3 linked regions of the Sus scrofa genome follow. The protein of the gene in region 1 purifies or fractionates together with the protein of each later gene. This does not show direct contact. Links are inferred from orthologs where the notes say so. Each region holds a gene or a part of one and is shown in the gene's direction. Other genes may lie near its edges. The genes, in order: MAP3K1, DCAF7 and AXIN1.

Region 1 (3,646 bases):
TTTCTTTTGTTGCTGTCCTATTTCATTAATAGTATTTTACTGAGTTTTTAATCTGTTTTTTGATTTTAACATATGAGGTCATTTGCGGTTTTTGTTGACAGGTGCCAATTTGCTAATTGACAGCACAGGTCAGAGACTGAGAATTGCTGATTTTGGAGCTGCAGCCAGGTTGGCATCAAAAGGAACTGGTGCGGGAGAGTTTCAAGGACAGTTGTTGGGGACGATTGCATTTATGGCACCTGAGGTGAGAAACAGCTTTGAGTGTGATGAAATATTTTGCAATTCTGTGTGACAGCATTATACCAAGTAATTCTGCAGTGTTATCCACTATGTGCTGACTAATTAGAAGTTTATGGCCCTAAAAACAAGGTTTTAATGATAGCCTTGATTTCAGACCATTAATCCCTGCCTTCCCATAGCCTTTAAGCAAATCTATTAAAACCTATTTCTAACAGAGAATTATTGGGTAATTTATAGTAGTTGTTTTGAACTCAACCCAAAGTACACATAATAGAAATTTTTTAAATTGTTCTCTATTACAAGAGGAGATGAGCACACAAAAGCAAATCTTAGTAGAAGCTTTAGAAGTAGTACCAGTTGTTTAAGCGTTGCTGCTTTGACCTTGGCCGCCTCTTCTGTTGTGTTTAGAACTCTTCATGTTCATACATAGTGATTATTGTCTTCTTGCCCTGTAGTTTGCTAAACGTACTGAGGTGGCTTTGAAATTCTATGATACAACCCTGCTTCAGGATCTCACAATTCTCCAAAATATTTTTGTTCCACATATGAGATAAAGTTTGTTAATGAAATAAATGAGACATCAGGTAGTCTATGGAATTGCTGTCTCAAGCACTGTTTTACTCTGAAGTAAAAAAACTAGAATCCATAACTACAGAATGGCTTTTTTTAATGAGTCATATTTCCAAATTAACCCTCGGCTTTATTTTAGGTCCTAAGAGGTCAGCAGTATGGTAGGAGCTGTGATGTATGGAGTGTTGGCTGTGCTATTATAGAAATGGCTTGTGCTAAACCACCTTGGAATGCAGAAAAACACTCCAATCATCTTGCTTTGATATTTAAGGTAATTGTGAGATAAATTACTTATTTTTGCTAAAATTGGCAAGGGGCAAATTTTCATGGGTTCTCCTTAACTATCAACCTAACGTGAAGGCATATCTTCCGTGAAATAAATACATGTTTATATCTCCAGGAATTTATGTGGTGTGGTGAATGTTGGCAGCATATACAGTCACTTCTCATTATTCATGGTAGTCAAGTCCCTGAATCTGCAAATACTGAACCACTGCTTCTGGATGAAATATGTATCTATATATGTATATATCAAACATTTGAATTAAAAAACTTGAAGCTCTTTACGTATTGCATGATCAAAAATTTTTTATTCTAATTTATTATGTCCTGTATTTTAAAAATTCACTCCTGGAGTTCCTGTCATGGCACAGCGGAAACTAATCCAATTAGGAACCATGAGGTTGCCGGTTTGGTCCCTGGCCTCGCTCAGTGGGTTAAGGATCCGGGGTTGCTGTGAGTTGCGGTGTAGGTCGCTGACACAGCTTGGATCCTGCATTGCTGTGGCTGTGGTGTAGGCTGGCAGTTGTAGCTCCAATTTGACCCCTAGCCTGGGAACCTCTGTATGCTGCAGGTGTAGCCCTAAAAAGCAAACAAAAAATAAATTAAAAAATTTCACACGTAAGTCAGAGGCCAAGTCTGTTCTACTTTGCTGACAACTCTCAAATCCATTCTCTCCATTTCTACCAGAGAATAGTGTAATGATTGAGATTTATTCTGCCCACCTTCTGTTTTCTTTTTTTTGTCTTTTTGTATTTTCTAGGGCCGCATCCACGGCACATGGAGGTTCCCAGGCTGGGGGTCTAATTCGTAGCCGCTGGCCTACACCACAGCCACAGCAATTCCAGATCCGAGCTGCGTCTGCGACGTACACCACAGCTCACAGCAACGCTGGATCCTTGACCCATTGAGCGAGGCCAGGGATCGAACCCGCAACCTCATGGTTCCTAGTCGGATTCGTTCACCACTGAGCCACAACAGGAACTCCTTGTTTTCTTATTGATAAAATGGATATAATAGTAGCACCTACTTCATTAATTATTTATATTATGAGGATAAACAGAATTACCTCTGGGCCTGAATAAAGCACTTGGCATACATAGTCACCTCTGTGCAGAGTGGCTAGTATTAGTCCTCTGAGCTGACCCCCAGCACCTCTCACCTGCCCTAACCTCCTTCTGTCCTCCCCATGCTGATATAACTTCCTCAGTCACCTGAAAAATATCAGTGCAGTTGTGTTTCTGATGTACTAAATTGACTGGCCAGGTGTAGTCTTACTTACTCTGAATAGCTCTCTGCGCTAAAATATATATATATATATTTTTTTCATATATATAAATGAAGCAAAGAGGGCAGACTCTTTTGGAGAGTGAATATGAGGAAAGCAGAATTGATCTGAATGAATACTTTACTTCTCTAATAATTCTGATGCACTTAGCCTTGTTCATTTACGACAATAAAGAGAATTTGTAGTACCATCTGATCAGGATGCGTTTGGTCAAAGTCTAAAATCCTAAAATTTGAAGGAAACCTCTCATCCATGGGTGAGTTTTTCCATAGACTCCTTGTTAGCAAAAGCCCGCCCACTTCTGTTTTAATTCCTCTAGGTACAGGATGCCTCAACAGAGGTTATGAAATATATGCCACATGTGATTCTTTATCAAAAGTTCCAGTTGTCGGGAGCTTTAACACGAGGGTTTTCTCTTACAGATTGCCAGTGCAACTACTGCTCCATCAATCCCGTCACATCTGTCTCCTGGTTTACGAGATGTGGCGCTTCGTTGTTTAGAACTTCAACCTCAGGACAGACCTCCGTCGAGAGAGCTACTGAAGCATCCAGTCTTCCGTACTACATGGTAGCCATTATACAAACAAACTATAATGGAGACAGGATGCTTAACAAGAGAAAAAACTTTTGTGGGGAACCACGTCGATAATCTACTGGCCTTTGTGCCACTGAACAGCTATGAATGAGAACAGTGGGGAACCCTTACCTAAGTATGTGATTGACAAATCATGATCTGTACCTAAGCTTAGTATGCAAAAGTCCACAATTTGTGCAGAAACTGTAAACCGTGCCTTTCAAAGAACTGGCCGTAGGTGAACAGGAAAGCAATGAAGTTTGCATGACTAATTAACAGAAGCATAATTTTTTTGGAGCACTTTTTCAGCAATATTAGCAGCTGAGGGGCTCAGGATCAATTTTAATGTTTCAATTATTCTTCCATTTCATATTGTGGTCACAAGCAAGGGGTTCTGCAGTTCTTTTTTTTTTTTTTTGGTCACTGGTTATAAAAATCATCTGCCTCTTTTAGGTCAGAATATGCTATAAGTAGCAGAAATAAATATATTTTTTAAAAGTTGATAACTTCTTTATGACCTACAGTTGACCTTTATTTTTTTAAATACCTGGGCAATTGTGGTTCATTGTGCATTTTACTGTTGGCCAATTCATTTCTTTTTTGGAAATTATGGTTCTATATTTTCATTTCACCTTCACTTTTGTTTAATATTCAGGGAAAGGTGATCTTTTCAAACCAGAAAAAAAAAATAGAAC
Region 2 (4,302 bases), on another chromosome or scaffold:
TATTTTTTTATTAGAGGAAGACATAAACACAGAAAACTTGTTCACCTACGGAAGTGGATAGGACTGTGAGGAGTTTGTTACATTAAACAGTGTCACTCAGTCACTCAATTCTTTGAATTCTTTCTTTTTTTTTTTTTGGCCACCTGGAAGCACATGGATATGGAGTTCCCTAGCCAGGGATCAGATCCCAGCTGCGGTTGCCGTCTACACTGCAGCTGTGGCAACCCTGGATCCTTAACCCACTGTGTGGGGCTGGTGATCAAACGTGCGTCCTTCTTTCTGAGTTTTCTGTTAACAATCACTTTTATCACTAAAAACTATATATATATAGTCTTTTTAAGGTCACATGTGCCCTAACTATTGAGGTTCCCACGATAAGGATCGAATCAGAGCTGTAGCCGCTGGCCTACACCACAGCTCATGGCAATGTCGGATCCTTAACCCACTGAGCGAGGGCAGGGATCGAACCTGCGTCCTCATGGATACTAGTCAGATTTGTTTCCATTGAGCCACAACAGGAACTCCACTAAATACTATATTTAATGATATATTATCTAACAATTCAATACAATTTTTTGCTTAGTTTTGTTGAAAGCAAATTATTGGAAACCATTTAAATTATAAAGAGATGTTACCTAGATTCTGACCCTTCCCCATTTCAAATTCAAGACACTTATATATTTAAGGCTAGATTAGCATTTGCCTTGGGACGCTCGTGGGAAAAGATGGAAACAGAAGCTGACAGCCACGCTGGCGGGGTTGCTGCCTGCTGAAGACCAATCCTCTAATTCCAAGCACTTCTAGAATGGCCAGGAAAGGTTGACTGAAGCTGGCCTGGTCCTGAGTAGAGCGGCGTGTCCGCCGTCTGCCCTTGGTACGCTGGGAGAACAACATTCCAATTTAAAGGAGGCGTTGGCGAAGCAGGGAAATAAAGGGGTTTCCCTTCGGCGCAGGCCCGTCCGCAAGGCCCGGGAGCTCAGTGCCGCGAAACGCAGCAGGCCCTCTCGTAAGGCAGACTTTTCATTTTCACTCGCCAACGTGGAGAATCCGGTCAGAATAGCAGCTGCAGTGGGGAAGTCAGAGCAGTCACGTAAGAGGTTTCACTCTCAGAGACTTGGCCTAGAACTTGGAGGCCTGCTGCACAGTACGCGAGCTTTTAAGCCGCCCACACCCCGATTCACCCGCACTGCGCCGTTATCTCTCTGACTGACATCTTTGTCAGCCAATGACCTTTGTGGCTGTGAAAGCGCCTGCCCCCTGGAGTTGGGCAGAGCAAGTAATCGGAATGACAACCATACGCACCAATAGCAAGGAGGTTTCAGAAGCTACGGGTACACTAGCCAATGAGGAGAAGGAGCCGTTCGAAAGGACGTGTCAGGTAGCCAACGGCCGGCGCCGCTGAGGGGGTCGCGTGGCTTCCGTTCTAGAGGGTGGGGCGGGGTCTCAAACGGAAGGTGGTTGTTGTCCGAGCCGAAGCAGGTTTGAAAGTGGGGGTCGGGCTCGGCTGTCGTTGTCTGTAGCAGCGGCCCCGCTTCCGGGCTAGGCTGTCCGTACCCGCCCCCGCCCCGCCTCCCTTCGGACCCCTCCGTCCCAGGCCTGACTCCCTGCCCGATTCGCGCCCCGCCCGCCGCAGCTCGCTGCCGTCCCGGCCCGCACTGCGGCCCCGCCGCCGCCACTATGTCCCTGCACGGCAAACGGAAGGAGATCTACAAGTATGAAGCGCCCTGGACCGTCTACGCCATGAACTGGAGCGTGCGGCCCGACAAGCGCTTTCGCCTGGCGCTGGGCAGCTTCGTGGAGGAGTACAACAACAAGGTGGGCCGGGCAGGGGCTCGGAACCCAGCTAGAGGGACGCGGGCACCTGGAGCGCCCTTTCCCGGCCGGAGCTCAGACCCCAGGACCCTCCTGCGGACCTGCCTTAGCGCCACGGAGCGGTTCCTCTGTGTCTGGCCCTGTGCAGAGGGTTTCGCTCTCGTCTCATTTAATCCTTGCAGCATTCCTGGGTAGTCAGGAGTGTAGTTACCCGCATTTTACCGATGGGGGAACTGAGGCACCGTGTTGTGACTTGCCCCAGTCAGACAGCTATTGCGTGACGGAAACAGGTCTCAAACCCAAGTTTGCAGCGCAGAGCTGTGCCGTTTATCACGCCTATCCCCTCCTCTCCTGCAGCTTCAGTTGGGGGGCGGAGGAGGGATGAGGGAGTGATGGCTGCGAAGAAGATGCTGGAGCCCCGTGGTCCTTCTCCCCTGGCCACACTAGATTTCTATTAGGACTGTTTAGCAGGTTTCACCGCCCCCTGTTCCCTGGATTTCCCCAGCCTTTCTGCCGGGATTGCCATTGCTATTGCTGCCTCATATTCGTCCTCTTCAAAGCTATCTCTTTTTGGAAATCTTGCCAATGGCTATTGTCTTCTGCATAGAAAAGGGTGATGCTTGCCATTTGTTTTCTTGGCATCTTTCATGCTGATACAGACAAGTAACCTGGAGTAGAAGTAAGTCTTTCTGGACATCCACAATTTGAGAATCCTTTTTAGAAGCGCGGTTAATAGGAGGAAGCTTGAAGCTGGCAGTGACACATAAATTTAGTTTTGGAAGTTGAATAAGTTAGTGGAAAGAATTTTCTTTCCATTACTCCGTAGTTTGCCATTTATTGTATTAGAGTAAGCGTTGTGATTGACTGATAGTGATCAGAGCAACTGAGAGCCATGCTTAGTGGTGTTTAAAACCTGTACACCTGCTTGACACCAGGAACAGTCTAATTTAAGAATAAATTGTGGGCAGAGGCATGGTGCAGGGGAAAAGGCCAGGTGCTCTAGGATTAGGCCTTGTCTAGTCCACTGATTAGCTGTGGGACACTGCATAGGTAAGTTTTATTATTTCTGACCCACAGTTTGTTGTAGGAAAGAAGTCCTTTAGAAAACATTTGAGCATTGTAATTTTGTTTGCAGGTTTTCAGGAGCACATCTTAGAATTAGATCTTAAGGAGTTCTGGTTGTGGCTCAGCAGTGACGACCCGACTAGGATCCATGAGGAGGCTGGTTGGATCCCTGGCCTTGGTCAGTGGGTTAAGGGTCTGGCGTTGCCAGGAGCTGTGGTGTAGGTCACAGACACAGCTTGGATCCCAAGTTGCTAGAGCTGTGGTGTAGGCCGGCAGCTGCAGCTCCAATTTGACCCCTGGCCTGGGAACTTCCATATGCTGTATGTATGCCTTCCCTCCCCCCAAAAAAATTAGGTCTTAAATTTTTTGTAATCCTTTTTGAGAAATTGATGAGAACAATGGACTCTTGTTGCCCAGACATCCCACATACACACTTTACAAACAAATCCCTGAAAGTATGCACTGATCTCGGAGTCCACGATTTCCCACAGAAACCAGAGAGTCCTGAAAAGACATAGCTTTATTTTTCTTCTGGAGCCTCTTTCTTCCTTATGGCACATAGTGGACCGCAGAGCTGCTAAAGTGAAATTCAGGGTCCTGATGTGTAAACTGAATTAGTAAAGTTGAGAGCACTAGAACTGTTGTTTAAGAATACATGTTTAAACAAAGGGGGGGTGGTAGTAAAATACATCTTTCAAAGGGCTTGAGTCTTTTCACACAGACGGATGGATTTTTTTTTCTTGCAAGGTCAATTTAGGTAAGCAGTAGCAGCCCCATTTCTAAGAGATGAGAAACCAAGCCACAGTTAGGCTGCTGGTAGAATCAGTGGAGTAATTGGTGTCAAACTTTGGTTGCAGGAACTCTGCCCCCAAATTTATCCTTTCAATTATGGAGCTCCTTCTTTGTGCCAGGCACGCAGGCAGTGTGGTTTTAGTCGTAAAATGCTAATTGATAATCCCAGTAGTAATAGAATAAGCAGTTACCTCTGTCTTAACTCACTTGCGTAATGTGGGCAACGTGGTGTCTTAAAATGGTTTTTGTGTCCCCTGCCCCAGGTCAGAGTTCTTGTGTGTGTATATGTGTTTGATGGACAGCTTTGGCAGTCGGAAGCCAATAGACCTCTGTTCATAATTATGTTTTCAAATGCATAAAATACATGGGATTACAAAGGAAACCAACCATATGACTCATAGTTACTAAAAACATTTTTTGGAGTTTTCTCATGGTGCAGCGGGTTAAGGATCCGGTGTCGTCACTGCATCGCCTTGAGTTGCTGCTATGGCTCTGGTTCAATCTGATCCCTGGCCCTAGAACTTTCGAGTGCCGTGAGCATAGCAAAAGGCAAAACTATTTATTTTTTTTAGAAGTAGGTTAGAAGAGGTTTAGTGAATATACTGCTAAGGGAAGCAGTGGGCAGGAGAGCTT
Region 3 (3,646 bases), on another chromosome or scaffold:
CTCTCGGCTTCCGGGTCTGGAAGGAGCTTAATCGCTGTTCGCATTCCTGCCCCAGCCCCGCTCTGTCCGCTGGGCTGTGATCTTGGCCCCGCCCGGCCTGTGGCAAGTGCCTTTCCTGCTTAACCTCGCTTATGGCTGGGCCACCCTTGGAGTGGCACAGGACACCTCTTGTGCCTGGTGCTGCTGGGCAGCTGTCAGCTGCTGGAGCAGCGGTGGGCGCCTCGCACCAGTGTATGCACCTGCATCGGGCCAGGGCCCTGTGACCTGAAGGGATCAAGGTCCCACCGGTTGGGGACTCCAGGGGCCAGTAAACACCAAAATAGAACTCTGGGAGGTGTTTGGTTTGGCTGCTTTTATGTGGCCAGGTTATAACATTAAAAAAACAGAAACAAAGTGCACCTTATCTGCTCCTCAGAGACCTCCCTGCTTGCCTGGGGAAGTTGTTGTGGCGCGGAGGGCCTGGCCCCTGCTGTTTCCCCCAGGCCGACGTGGAGGTGGAGTGCGTGGCACAGGGCCTGTCTTATCCCAAGAACAGAGGCTTGCTTGTCACACTGCGTGTGGGAAATCACTGAGGGCTGGGTACCTGAGCGGTTCTGGGAGGCTGTGCGGACGCTGGTAAGCCACTTAAGCCATTATTTTTTGCGAAACAAATGGGCATGATTTGAAGCACAAATAGTATGTGCCTGAATTTCCGAGTGTGGATCCCGAGACTTCTGCTCGGGGCTGCTGGCCGAGGAGGTACAGAAGTGCTTCTGTGGGGCTTTGCCGGCAGCGAGCTCCCGGGTCAGGCTGCAGGTGGGCCGGAGGGCGGAGAGGCCTGCCTGGTGTTTGGCCTGCCTGGTGTTCGGCCTGGGAGCAGCGAGACTTAGGGATCCTCTTCCATCCAGAGGGTTTCCGGAGTAGGAGGCCTCACACCTGTGGTTTTGGACAGGCGGGCAGTCCATGCAAACCTCCTGCCGAGAAGAGCTAGAAACGCTGGACCTGGGTTTTCTTAATCGAGTTGCAGCAGTCGGAGAGCTGAGCACACAGGAAGGGTCGAGAGCCCTGGTCAGGCAGGCGAGCTGGGTAGTGTGTCTGGCCCTAGGGGTCCAGGCGGCTCAGGCCTGCCTGGGAAGGGGTTCCCCCTGCGGGGGGTGGACTCTCTGTTCCTGACTTGGGTTAAGGTGGCTGGGTTCCCGGGTCTCATGCACATGCTCTGGAGAGCGCCACATCCTAGGCTGCGGGTTCAGAAGAATTTCCACTCACGGTGTCTGGCTTTCCATCCAGAATAACCAGATGCTGAATGAAAAATCAGGCACATAATGGAGTTCCCGAGGTGGCACAGCGGGAACATATCCGACTAGGAATCATGAGGTTGTGGATTTGATCCCTGGCCTCGCTCACTGGTAAGGATCCGGCGTTGCCGTGGCTGTGGTGCAGGCCGGCAGCTGTAGCTCCGATTCGACCCCTAGCCTGGGAACCTCCATATGCTGTGGGTGCGGCCCTAAAAAGCAAAGAAAAAAACCCCAGGCACTTAAAGATCCAGAATGATGATGTAGTTCCCGTCGTGGTGCACTGGTTAACGAATTCGACAAGGAACCATGAGGTTGCGGGTTCGATCCCTGTCCTTGGTCAGTGGGTTAAGGATCCGGTGTTGCTGTGGTTGGTGTAGGTTGCAGACGTGGCTTGGAGCTCTTGTTGCTGTGGCTGTGGTGTAGGCCAGTGGCTACAGCTCCGATTAGACCCCTAGCCTGGGAATCTCCATATGCCGCAGGAGCAGCCCTAGAAAAGGCAAAAAGATTAAAAAAAAAAAAGAGAGAGAGAGAGAGAGAGATACAGGATGATGATAAAAGCCTTGTGGATCCAGATAATAGCACAGCTCACAGACACCTTCTTGGTGGAGACCCGTCAGGGCTGGGGCAGGGGGCGGGGAGTGTTCACAGAGCAGAGATGAAGGCAGAGGATTATAATCCACTGCATAAAGTACCAACTTGCGCGTCCACACTGACGCAAATACACATGGAGAGAAAAAGAGCCTGCCTTAGAGTTTCCAGACACCAGCTAATAAATAGAGGTCCAGAAGTTCCCACTGTGGCGCACAGGTGAATGATCTGCCTGGTCTCTGCGGAGGCTCCACACTGTGGGTTAAAGATCCGGCGTCGCTGCGGCTGTGGTGTAGGTTGCAGCTCCAGCTCAGATTCCATCCCTGGCCCTGGGACTTGATGTGCTGTGGGGTTGGCCATAAAAGGAAATAAAACACCCCCAAAACAATGAAGGTAGACCAGTTGATGGGTATGCATAGAATTTGTGTGTGAGCCTAAAGTATCTCCCCACACGTCACCTCTTATGCACAAAGGGAAAAGAACAAACCCAGGGAGTTCCCCTTGTGGCTCTGTGGGTTAAGAACCCGACTCGTATCCATGAAGATGCAGTTTGATCCCTGGCCCCACTCAGTGGGTTAAGGATCTGGCTGCGAGCTGTGGTGTAGGTTGCAGATGTGGCTCAGATCTGGCGTGGCTGTGGCTGTGGTGTAGGCTGGCGGCCTCAGCTCTGATTAGACCCCTAGCGTGGCAACTGCCATATGCTGTAGGGTGTGGCCCTAAAAAGACAGGAAAAAAAAAAAAAGGAAGAAAGGAGCGGAGTTCCTGCTGTGGCGCATGGGTTGGGGATCCAGCTCAGATTTGATCCCTGACCTGGGAACTAACTTATGCTGCGAGTGCGGCCAAAGAAAAGGGTACGGGGGGGAATCAAGACAGTTTAAGACCAGCAGACGTTGAGGAAGCTGTCACCAGCAGCCTGTTACCGAAGGTCCCGTTTAAGGTGTTGGGGCCGAAGGGAGAGCGGGTGGGGGGCAGGAGTGTGGGGAGCGCGAGGTGACTGTGGGGACAAGGCAGTGCCGGCAATGCTGGTGGGTTTCGTTTGTTTGCTTGCTTTTTTAGTGGCCGTGCCCACGGCATGTGGAAGTTCCTGGACCGGGGACCTACTCCTTGCTGCAGCTGTGGCGGTGCTGGATCCCTTAACCCAGTGCAGTGAGGGTCTCTGTTGTCATCTCTGCAGGAGCCACGGAAAGAGTAGTGGCAAGATGACTTTATTCCAGGGAGGGACGGAAAGTAAAAGGTTCTCCAGGAGCTCCCGCCGCGGCTCAGCGGTTAACGAACCCGACTGGCATCCACGAGGACGTGGGTTCAAGCCTCACTCAGTGGGGTAAGGATCCGGCGTTGCCGTGAGCTGGGGTGTAGGTGGCAGATACAGCTCGGATCCCGCGCGGCTGTGGCTGTGCCGTAGGCCGGCGGCTGCAGCTCCAGTTTGTCCCCTAACCTGGGAACCTCCATATGCCACGGGTGCAGCCCTAAAAAGCAAAATTTAAAAAAAATAAAAATTGAAAAAGAAGTCAGGAAGAACGAAAGAAAATAGCAGATCCGACACACAGAAAGCCAAGAATAGGATAGTGGATCCACTCACTGAGACCACTCTGAATGCAGCAGGAGCAAGTGATGCAATTAAAAATGGAAATGAATCCGACTAGGAACCAGGAGGTTGCGGGTTCGCTCCCTGGCCTCACTCAGTGGGTTAAGGATCCGGCGTTGCCGTGAGCTGGGGTGTAGGTGGCAGATGCAGCTCAGATCCCGCGTGGCTGTGGCTCTGGCGTAGGCTGGCGGCTACAGCT

The links.
Region 2: the proteins of MAP3K1 (region 1) and DCAF7 purify together in Homo sapiens (affinity purification with mass spectrometry; 3 studies listed by BioGRID and IntAct, with this or other methods). This does not show direct contact. The link is inferred for Sus scrofa from reciprocal best matches to the Homo sapiens genes MAP3K1 and DCAF7.
Region 3: the proteins of MAP3K1 (region 1) and AXIN1 purify together in Homo sapiens (affinity purification with western blotting; 5 studies listed by BioGRID and IntAct, with this or other methods). This does not show direct contact. The link is inferred for Sus scrofa from reciprocal best matches to the Homo sapiens genes MAP3K1 and AXIN1.

What each region holds. Positions count from the first base shown.
Region 1 is NC_010458.4:35,941,692-35,945,337, forward strand, and holds part of MAP3K1 (mitogen-activated protein kinase kinase kinase 1), read left to right. Parts: intron 1-101; coding exon 102-244; intron 245-949; coding exon 950-1,081; intron 1,082-2,799; coding exon 2,800-2,949; 3' UTR 2,950-3,646. UniProt on the Homo sapiens protein: Component of a protein kinase signal transduction cascade. Activates the ERK and JNK kinase pathways by phosphorylation of MAP2K1 and MAP2K4. May phosphorylate the MAPK8/JNK1 kinase.
Region 2 is NC_010454.4:15,348,120-15,352,421, reverse strand, and holds the start of DCAF7 (DDB1- and CUL4-associated factor 7), read left to right. Parts: upstream 1-1,425; 5' UTR 1,426-1,677; coding exon 1,678-1,815; intron 1,816-4,302. UniProt on the Homo sapiens protein: Involved in craniofacial development. Acts upstream of the EDN1 pathway and is required for formation of the upper jaw equivalent, the palatoquadrate. The activity required for EDN1 pathway function differs between the first and second arches.
Region 3 is NC_010445.4:41,368,887-41,372,532, forward strand, and holds part of AXIN1 (axin-1), read left to right. Parts: intron 1-3,036; coding exon 3,037-3,183; intron 3,184-3,646. UniProt on the Homo sapiens protein: Component of the beta-catenin destruction complex required for regulating CTNNB1 levels through phosphorylation and ubiquitination, and modulating Wnt-signaling.